Cricetulus griseus: one gene and its partners. The protein of the gene in region 3 purifies or fractionates together with the protein of the main gene of each other region. This does not show direct contact. Links are inferred from orthologs where the notes say so. Each region holds a gene or a part of one and is shown on either strand. Other genes may lie near its edges.

Region 1 (2,441 bases), on a different chromosome or scaffold from region 3:
TAAATGATTTACATATAATTAATTTAATATGCATAATAACCAAAAGACAGAAATTTCTTTCAGATTTCATAAGCATAAGACTCTGGCAAGAAAGAAAAACACTTAAATTGGTAACAAATGAATGCTCTAGAAACTACTTAAGAGTTGTGCCCTGCCCTGTATATAAACAAGAAGCCCTAAAGAGGCAGGCAGGAGGAACCCAGAATTTAAGGTCATCATGATCAGAGGTTAGAAGCTAGCCTGGGCTGGCGTAATATGGGTATTTGGGTAAGATATTAAAGTGTCCAATTACCAGAAAACGTCTTCATTATCAGAAAACAAGCATCTGATGTTGATGGTCTTTTCCAATGTTCTCACACGCAAATCACAAGCAGATCCTAAGAGCAGATGGTTAACTGTGAAGTGTTTGGTGACAAATGGTTGTACGTGCATCTGTAGGTGCGGTAGGGCGAGTAGGATCAAACACACGCTTTTCAAGATGTATTAAAAGAATCTCTTCTCCCTGGCTCTTATGGGGATGACTAACCTGCCACCCAGAGGCTGCATGCCTCCCAAGATAACGATGAATGGGCCCCACACATTGGGAGACGATGGCGTCTTTTCACAAAGTCACAAGGCTGGACACTCCGAAGGGTTTTTTTCCTTCGGTTCACCCTTGCTTTATTCCTTTTCATTGGCGCCTGGGTGGACCCTTCGGTAACTACCAGGAAGGTTACGGTGCTGAGATTTCCTACACAAGCACTTCTAGAAGTAATTCCAAAGTACCTCGGGTGATAATTTGCCACCAGAACGTATGTAACTAGGTTTAAGCGAGATGGCTGGCTGTGAGCTCAAGGCGCCCAAGATGGCTTGCGCAGATAATGCGCAGATATGCAGATCTGCAAAGGTGTGGGGGGAAAATGGTTCTCCCGCATTTCTTTTCTCTGGTAGTGAATTTAAGACGCAATCAAGATTCGGAAAGGAAGGTACCCATAGCTAAGACTGCCCAGCATCAGCTATGGCGCACTTCCGAAAAAACAGTTAACAGGTGCATTGCGGATTCAAAGGGCTGAGACGGAAGAGGGGGGCACAAAGCAAACAGCCTGGGGCTGCATAAACAGGTATGGAAAAATACAGGCTCAGCCTCGAGCTGGTTCCAGCCAGCTCTGCAGGGGAGGGGGCGGAAGCTGGGGGCTGGGAGTCTAAGTGGTTTTGAGGACCTCGGAGATAGCAGCATAGCAACAATCTGGTGCAGTATGTGCGCAAAACCATCAGCTGATAGCGGGCAGCCATTCATTTGCCGCGAGCCACGAAGCGGCAGCGCGGACGTCACCACAGCCGTCAGCATTTGCCGCATCTTTAGACTCACTCTGGACCAGCCGCAGTCACAGAAGGAGGACCTCTCTGGACCAGCACAGTCGCAGACTGCGCAATCACCAGACCACTGCGGCAAACCAGCCGAGCCGAGCCGAACGCTAGCCATGGCCGACCCCGAGAAGCAGGGACCCGCTGAGAGCCGTGCCGAAGACGAGGTAATGGAGGGCGCCCAGGGTGGCGAGGATGTGGCAACCGGAGGCGAGGGTGCCGCTGCGCCCGCGGCCGAAGAGCCACAGGCTACCGGGGAGAACGCGCCCAAGCCCAAGAACGAGTTTATCGAGAGCCTGCCCAATTCCGTCAAGTGCCGAGTTCTGGCGCTCAAAAAGCTGCAGAAGCGCTGTGATAAGATCGAGGCCAAATTTGACAAGGAATTCCAGGCTCTGGAGAAGAAGTACAACGACATCTACAAGCCCCTTCTTGCCAAGATCCAGGAGCTCACCGGTGAGATGGAGGGCTGCGCCTGGACCCTGGAGGAAGATGATGATGACGACGAGGAAGAAGACGAGGAGGAGGAGGAGGAGGAAGAAGAGGCTGCGGCCGGCGCCACTGGGGGTCCCGACTCCGCCAAGAAGTGAACGCCAGCAGATGACAGGTGATAAACCCCCTACCCCTTTCATTTCCGATGTCGGCAGACTTTAAAAGGCTCAGGTTTTGCCCAAAATACAATGTGAATCTATTCTGACATTCCTAAATTTAAATTGAATCTAGATTTTGGCTAGCCCGTTTTTAATCTGACTCTTAATTGTGTAAAACAAATACCAAAAGACGTTTTTAAACAAAAAAAGCCTAATTAAGCTTAATTTTTTTTTCTCCCTGCAATTCTGAGAGAACTGGACTTGAGACTGATGTAAGATGGTCAGTTAAATGTGAAGTGCGTCACACGTTGAAATCCATTCATCTCACTACACCCGACCACCCAAGCTAAGACTGAACTTTTCTCAATGCTTAATTCTTCAGTTTCTTTACATTTTCCAGCGAAGAGGAGAAGGAATCCAAGAACGACGTCATCTTTAAGACTTTTGCTTTTGCAAACCCAGACATCAGCTTTACACTCTGGAGGAGACGTGGCATGGAGGAAGCCTGGA
Region 2 (3,988 bases), on a different chromosome or scaffold from region 3:
TCCCCAGTGCACCCATCCCCCAGGGCTGCCCCATCACCTTCTCCAAGGAATAGCCTGCTCGTTCTATGATTTCAGGGTATACATCAGTATATTCTTTTATGATGTCCTTCAGCATATCTGCAAAAGGAGAGTGTTGTAAACATTGGGGCTGTAGAGATACCAGGTGACCCTCATGTCCAACCTACAGACCCTTTGTTGTCCATGCCATGGGTGTCATAATCAGGTTTTGGGCTTATTGATAATGATGGCACTACTCCGAGAACTTTGGGAGAAGAGATAGGAACAGGAGAGGGAAGGATGTCCCCAGCACACTGGAGAGAAGGCAGACCTCAGGAGAGGGAACTTGTTTATAGGACTCTACCTGAGCGCCTGATGGGAATCTTCGTCTGATCTTTAGCCAACAGGTACTTCACCAATTCATTTGCCTAAGAGAGAAGGAAACAGTGAAAAGACTAAAAAGTCGGGCAAGGCCGTGGAAAAGGTGGGATGTACAGGATGAAGTTCATACCCTTCCTTGTAAAAGGGCCACATCTCTAGGTGGGGGTGCTTCAGGTTCTTGGGATGCAGACTGCAGCTTGGCAGCTCTTCTTCGGGCCTTGCCTCTCCGAGCTCTAGGTGACCTCAGAGAAAGCAAAGCTCTGCGAGCCCAAGCAGCCAACCGAGTCCTTGATGCCCTGCGGGCCCAAAAGGCTATGGGTCCCCTTGAAGCTCTGCGGGCCATGGAGGCCATTAGGGCCTTTGAGACCCTCCGACCACCTGTGGTTTCCGAAGCCTGACTCTGATCACTGTTGCCACTGTTGCCACTGTTGCCACTGTTGCCACTGTTGCCACTGTTGCCACTGTTGCCACTGTTGCCATCTTCTTCCCCATCCAAGTGTTTCACCTGCATCGACAGAGAAGAGGACCAACATCAGCAAGTGAAGCAGATGGTTCTTTCTCCTAACTCAGTCTCCTCTGGAAAGCACGCCCTAACCCTGTCTCTTCTTGGATGTACCCCTAACTCTGACCTTGTCGTAATAGTCTGCCTCACTGTACACTAGCCATCCTGAGTCATGGGCTTATCACTGAGTACCAGTTGGGAATTTCCTCCCTGAGTGGATCAGGAACAACTCAGAAATACGGCATGGGGATTCTCTTCTTCCTATGTCCACCACTGACTCTGCTTATGCCAACCTGGACTAGCCCTCTCTCTGGACATCATTTTCCTTCTCTACAGAACGAAACCATAGGAGTTACTTTCAGATAAGTGTACAGCTACTGCATAAATATAAAGTGCATCACAGATTGCAGCTATGTATATTCCTGTCATATCTCCCCACCAGCCTGTGAGCTCTGTGGATACAAGAACTGTAACACATTCCTCTGTGTCTTTCATGAGGACAAGAGATTTTTTAATGTTTGCAGAACAAACAAACCAAATGACATGATGAATGTGGAGGAGCAAGGGCAGCTGTGGCAGAGGTCTTACCTTTTGGGTATTCTTGGCTTTGACCTTGGGCCGAGTATCCTGATTCTCCTGGACCTGGACAGCTGCACCCTCAGGCTCTGGTTCATCTGCTCCAGCCTGAGAGTCAGCAGCCTCAGTCTCAGGGGCCTTTGTACTGACCTTCGGATCAGTAACACAGCTGACCTTTTTGGTCTGGGTTGCAGGCATTGTCATAGCCTGCAGGTCAGCCTTCTGCGTCTTGGTGTCAGCTGCTGGGCTCTTGTTTTCAGCTGCCAGAACCTGGGTATCAGTCAGCTGTGTGGTAGTTGAAGGCTGGGTGGCAGCTGCCTCAGAATCCTCTGGGGCCTTCGAGACCTCTGTGGCTTTCGGGTTCCCAGAGGCTTTGGGGACCTTTGCAGCCTCTGAGACCTCTGGTGCCTTTTCAGCCTTCGGTGTCTCTGAGACCTCCAAGTTCTGGGTCGCGGGCAACAGGTCCTGCATCATGGAGCCGCTGTCCTTTTCTGAAGCTTTGCCCTGCAAGGGGAAGCAGCGAAGTTCGCCGACCTTCTCCCCACCCTCAACTATAGAAATGGTCCCCAAATTCCGAGGCACCACTTCTCTGACCTGTAAAGACTTCTACCTGCAGTGTGCTCTGATCACCTCCCCATAAAAAGGTCTCCCCTTCCCCTTAGTAGAAAGTAGTGACAGTACAAGGGCCCTCCCACCCTCTCCCCCTTCCTCCTGGCCTCCCCTCTACTGGGGAGAGGGGATGCACCCCGGCAAAGAAGTGGGTGGAGAATGACAAGGATGGGAGGAGAAGCTCCAAAGATTTGGAGCAGCAAAGGGGGCTGGAAAGGCAAAGCAGTAAGAAAGAGAGGGCAAAAATTGGTCTTACCTGAAAGCGAGTTGGACCTGCACCACTCTCACTTGTTTCAGACATGTCTCAAGTTCACCCGACAAAGCTGAGTCTGAAGAGAAGGCCTGGGTCAAGTGGAGAACCCGCTGAATGTCGTATCCCTTCTTCTGCCTAGAAGCTGATCCTCACCTTTTCTAGGGCCCCACAGCCCAGCCCCTCCCCGAGCCCCAACCAGTAGGTTCTCAGATACAGAAATTCAGTCTTTAGGTCTCAGTTCTCTGCAGCCGCACCCTCCCCTCCTCCAGGAAGATGTGCCAGCGCGGCAGCTCTAAGGACCCCGCCCCCTTTTCCCAGCGCACCCCCCCCAGCCGCAGGCCTGGAATGCGCATGCGCTTATGCTGCAGCGCCCTTTCAACCCCGCCTGCTTTCCCAGTACAAACCCGTTCTTTGAAGTCCACCGTGCACATGCGCATTCAGCAGCTGGCCCTGTCTCCGTGCGAGCCCTTCTCTACACGCCCCTTTCTAGCTATACATAAAGCGCATGCGCAATGGCCACGGTCTCAGTCCAGCACCCAGCCCCTACACACGCCCCTTTCTAGGTCCGCAATGCTGTTCGGCCCCGCCCCCTCCCCACCAAGCCTTCCTTCCAAATTGTCGCAGTGTCTGGTGGTCCCAGCCCCTCCCCTACTCACATCCACCCTATCAATTTCACAGAGCCTCCAAGTCCCGCCCTTTATCCTAACACGCCCCCCTCCAAACGGCAAAACCCAAATTGGTTTGGCTCCTTCCCTGTAACACCCCCTCCTCAACTCAGGACTGAACTAGTGATTCCATCTTGGGCCCAGCCAAACGGGGTCCAGTCCCCTCCCTTCCTAGCTGGATGGATTCGGTAAGATTTGGCTTTTAAGGCAGGTTTTCTCCAAATCCCAGAGGGTGGGGCCGACCCCTAGCAGGCTCTCATCCAAAGCTGGGGCCCATGGCTCACCTCCTCCTCCTACAATTCCCGAATGCGTCCACTCTCTCCAAGCCCCTCCGAAACTCAAGATACTGCCCTCCCCACTAAAGGCCGGAAGTGGTCCCGCCCCTTTCCGCCTCCCTTGGGGGCCTCCGTCCCAGCCCGTCTGCCCTTCCCCCCTCATCACTCCTTATCCCCCCCCTCCTTATTCCCTCTGCCTGACTCCGGACTCCCTATTTCCCATCGCATATCCTATTTACCCTAAGAAATCTCTTCCCATTCCTTACATCCTCCTCTGTATTACCTATGCACAACCCCCCCAATGTTCCTTAACCCTTCTCTGCATACCCCTATTCTCCTCTCTGGATCTTGTCTCCCCCTCCACATCCCCCCCCGTATTCCTCCTTCTCCTCCCAACATGCACAGTTCCCCTTTTTCTCTCCTTCACCTCCGACAGTCTCAGCTGTCCAGTCCATATACAGCCTACTACTTTCTTGGTTGTTCTCTTTCCCACACCGCATTAAAAGCAGCACCTCTGCTCCAGCTACAGTAGTGAAATAAGAATTGTCCACCTGCCCAGCTGTAGGTTTCGGGAGTTAGAACCACTGTCTCGTCGCCAGGAAAGCCCAGTCTTGTCCTCTCACCTTGTCCTCTAGCGAGTCTGGGATGCGTGTGCCTGCTCTCAGTCCCTCTCGAAGTCTCAGCCTCCTGGACTAGAGCTGCAGACAGCCCAGCCCAGCCCAGCCCAGCC
Region 3 (3,945 bases):
AATGAGCTACATCCACAGGGCCCAACACTGACAAATCTTGAAGAGTGGTTATTCTTCATTAAAACAGTCATATCACATAGCCTGTTATATGAGCATATTAGTTTTTACCAAGTTCTTCCATGCCTGATTGTTTGTATTTCCAATGTTTTCCTATCCTATGATGTGTAGTGGCAGAAATACTCCAGTGTAGGCTTGTGGGATAATGGGATGTAAAATGTTGACAGTGCCTTAGTATTATAGACACAGGTTGGACCTTCCACCTTAAAGGGTGTGTGGAAGGTCAGACCACACTTGGAGCACAACTGTTTTGTGGCACATACCCACATTCTGGAAGATTTCAGTTTTGATACCAGCATGGGCTACTCAGTGCAGCCCTGCCTAAAACCAAAACAATTAAGCACCAAACTCAAAAGAGTTAACAGGTGAGTTGTAGCCAACTGAAAAAGAGCAGCAAGGTTTCACAAGCTTAAGGGTTTTATACAAGATTAACTTTTTTCAGGAAGATGAAAAATTGATACACTGGTTGTTGTCATTATAAAGCGTTTTAAGAATTTAAAAGCATCATAAAGCAGTTCTACCATCAAGTCAACTAAAGCAGAAATGAAGGATTGCGTATCCGGTGAACATGATGCGGAACACGGTAGAAGGCGCAAAGGCCCCTTGACTAAGAAGCAAAATGTGCCGAAGATGCCGCTGCGGTGTCCCGGAGGAAAGAGCTGTGTGGTTCTTAGCCGGGGTGGGAAAAAAAATGGTTTCAGAGAAGAGGAGGAGGAAGAGTTGCAGGAATCACGCCTGGACGCGGAATCCGAGCCGGGATACTGCAAGCCGGCGACCAGGCTGCTGTACCTAACCCAGCGAGCGGGCAAGGAGAACCAGGGTCGCCGCGGTGAGTTTGGGATTTCGACCCCACCGCAGAGGCGAGAGACTGCGCGGTGCGCAACCAGCAGACGACCAAGTCTGGCGGGAAGCCTAGGGCTCCGAGGGGGGTGAGAGGGGGAGAGAAGGACGGCTCTGTTACTAGGCAACACGGGCCGGGCCCGCCTCCTGCTGCCGTTGCTAGGCGACGCCGAGGCCAGGGGGCGGGGGGAGGAGGGCGGCGGAGCGGCCCTACGTGCTGACGCTAATTGTATATGAGCGCGAGCGGCGGGCTCTCGGGTCTCTTTTAGCGCCATCTGCTCGCGGCGCCGCCTCCCGCTCCTCCCGCTCCTCCCGCCGCCGCCGCCGCCGCCCTGAGTCACTGCCTGCGCAGCTCCGGCCGCCCGGCTCCGCGTCTGAGCCTCCTGGAACGGTAACGGCTGGGACCCGGGAGGGCTCGGGGCCTGCGAGGTGTGCGTGCGTGTGAGTCGGGGTGTCCGAGGCCGCGCCGCCTGAAGGGCCCCGGCGGCGCTTGCCGGCTGCGGGGCGCGCGGGACAGCGAGGCCGCGGCGGCGTGGAGGGGGAGCGGGAGGATGAGGAGGCCACGCTGCGGAGCGCATGGGTCGCCCCGGCCACCCGGGCCGCCGCTGCCTCGGTGTCGTCGTCCCCCGTCCCCGAGAGGAGCACCACGAGCAGGCCGCGGGGGTGTGGGGGATGGAAAGAACGGTGGCCGCGAGTTCCGCCCGCGGGGGGAGGAGGGAGGGAGAGAGGGGGCTGCGCAGGCCGCGGCCTCCCGCGCTCAGGAGCCGGGCACGTGGGGACGCGCTGCGGACGGCGGGAGACCCCTCCCGCTCGGGCTTCCCCAAGATTTGAAGACAAGGAAGGTCGGGTTGCGCCGAGGACCAGCCCCGAGGGCTCACGCGCTTCCCTGGAGGAGAATGTGCTAGCGGATGGGAGGATGCCGGTGGCGGGGGGTGGGGACGACGACCAGGGGAGGATGGGGGGGGGCGAGAACAAGCCTGCGCGGCTGGGGTTGTTAAGGGTTAACACGTGCAAAGCATTTAGCGTAGCTTTTTCTTTTTTCTTTTTTTTTTTCTATCTAGAGGTGGTTTTGTGCCTCACAGGTACGGTTAGAACTTCTGGGTACCTTGGCCCCGGGGTCTTATTTGTGTGGAGAGAGAACTTGCTCTGAAGTCTCCTTAAACCTCCGGATGGTTCTAAGATGAAGAGGAGGCTGGCTTGTTGGGTGCGGGGTGGGGGTAGGGGCTCCCATTCTACTAGACCAACAGCGTAGTTTTCCCTTCCAGAACTTCCCAGAATTCTCACTGGGGGTATGAGGTGGAGCAAGGCATTAATATATACTGATACTGGGCAAAACTCAGTGCGCCACATTTATATAGAGATCTCAGGCGTGGCCATGAAGGGAGGGAGGAGACAGGTCCTGTCGGGAGGGCTAGACTTCCAGAATCAAAGGGTGAACCAGGTACGAGCCTGCAAGGACTCCCTATTTCATCTCCTGTCTCCGAGTTCTGAGAAAATAACGTCTTAAAAACTCAAAATACTGACTAACCTGGTTTCAAGAGAGCCAACCTAGAGTTTGCTATATTTTTTGAAAGCAGTTTAGCATCAGAACATCTTTGCAAACTAATATCCAAAGAAATATTTTGGTTTTGTTAGGGGAAAACCTAAAACAGGTAAACGGGATTTTCGGTGGTCTTGGGGAAGTCTTTTTCTCTCAAGCTTGTGTACAGTTGAAGTACACGCCCCATATTTAAACCATACAACTACATTAATTCCAAATCTGGATTTGAAGGATTTAAGTTAGCATTAGCAGGGACTTAGACATCTGTCATAAAATCTTGACTTAACTAATTGTTCTTTTCAAGTCAGCATTTAGATTAATAAAAAGTTAAAGACTCTTCAACATAACGTGATGTCTGTTCGTTTTATCTGTTGCAAAATACCTGTTTTGTTTTAAGTCTTGGGCCCTATAATTGACAATAGTTTAATATTGACATGTCCTTTCATGAGATTAAAAAAAATAACACTCTTGGCCGAACCAATGTGACTAAAATTCTGTAGTTTATTTTATTATTTGTATTGGCCTAAGGTGACCGAAGCCAATACAGGAAGGGGGGTGCTGAAAGAGGTGGGATGCGACTTAAAAAGATCTGAAGGTATCAGAACACATTGCTTATTTTATTGGGTTATAAGTAACTGCTAGACCTCAGGATTTCCACTCTGCCTTTCATTGCTAAAAATGTATTTGGACAATTAACTTGAAAAGTTTTTCATGTTTTTATTTACAGTGGAAAAGGAACTATAATTTCCTTAGAATAAAGAGACTGCTACAGGGGTTAGCTTGGGTTAAGGGCACTGGTTTTTCCAGAGGACCTGGGTTCAATATCCAGCACCTACTTGGTAGCTCACAACAGTCTGTTACTCTGGTCCCAGAGCGTCCAACTTGTATACAAAGGATGTACAGACATAATGTGTAGGCAGAACACCCATTAACATAGAAACAAAGGTTATGAAACAATTAAAGATACTCCATGGGGAACAAATAGGCACAGTGATTACTGTGAGACTCTTTTTTTAAAGACAGGTTCTCTTCTTACATAGCACTTGGCTGTGTAGGGAAGGCGGCTCTTGAACTCAAGAGATCCACCTGCCTCTGCCAGTGAATGCTGAGATTAAAGGCGTGGGGTTGTTTAAATTCCATCATTCCAATCATTCATTCATGTATTTGTTTATTTAATGCTGTCAGGTAGTATTAGCTTTCTCTTTAGAAACATGCCTTAGGTGGTAGTAGTAACTAACTAGTAGTTTAGTATTAGTTAACTAGTACTACTAACATTTTAGCTAGAAAACAGGTCTGGTATGATTAAAAGGCTTACTCAGACTTTTGCAATGATGAGGTTGGGTTCTTGTTTTTTTTTTTTTTTAAGCTTTTATTATGTGTGTATTTTGCTCACATGTATGACTGCACCCTGTGTCTTGCTGGTACCTGTAAAGGTTAGAAGAGGTTGTCAGATCCTAGTGTGAGCTGCCAAGTGGGCTCCTGGTCTCTGCAGGGAAAACAAGTGCAAT

What was found. The genes of interacting proteins can lie anywhere in the genome.
Region 1: the proteins of Nap1l1 (region 3) and Nap1l5 purify together in Homo sapiens (affinity purification with mass spectrometry; 3 studies listed by BioGRID and IntAct, counting the BioPlex papers as one, with this or other methods). This does not show direct contact. The link is inferred for Cricetulus griseus from reciprocal best matches to the Homo sapiens genes NAP1L1 and NAP1L5.
Region 2: the proteins of Nap1l1 (region 3) and Maged2 purify together in Homo sapiens (affinity purification with mass spectrometry; 4 studies listed by BioGRID and IntAct, counting the BioPlex papers as one, with this or other methods). This does not show direct contact. The link is inferred for Cricetulus griseus from reciprocal best matches to the Homo sapiens genes NAP1L1 and MAGED2.

What each region holds. Positions count from the first base shown.
Region 1 is NC_048601.1:83,307,602-83,310,042, forward strand, and holds Nap1l5 (nucleosome assembly protein 1-like 5), read left to right. Parts: upstream 1-1,460; coding exon 1,461-1,931; downstream 1,932-2,441.
Region 2 is NC_048604.1:108,703,695-108,707,682, reverse strand, and holds the start of Maged2 (melanoma-associated antigen D2), read right to left. Parts: upstream 2,811-3,988; 5' UTR 2,723-2,810; intron 2,621-2,722; exon of another isoform or gene 2,472-2,620; intron 2,395-2,471; 5' UTR 2,367-2,394; coding exon 2,322-2,366; intron 1,961-2,321; coding exon 1,469-1,960; intron 884-1,468; coding exon 509-883; intron 426-508; coding exon 362-425; intron 118-361; coding exon 38-117; intron 1-37. UniProt on the Homo sapiens protein: Regulates the expression, localization to the plasma membrane and function of the sodium chloride cotransporters SLC12A1 and SLC12A3, two key components of salt reabsorption in the distal renal tubule.
Region 3 is NW_023276806.1:144,110,492-144,114,436, reverse strand, and holds the start of Nap1l1 (nucleosome assembly protein 1-like 1), read left to right. Parts: upstream 1-1,136; 5' UTR 1,137-1,288; intron 1,289-3,945. UniProt on the Homo sapiens protein: Histone chaperone that plays a role in the nuclear import of H2A-H2B and nucleosome assembly.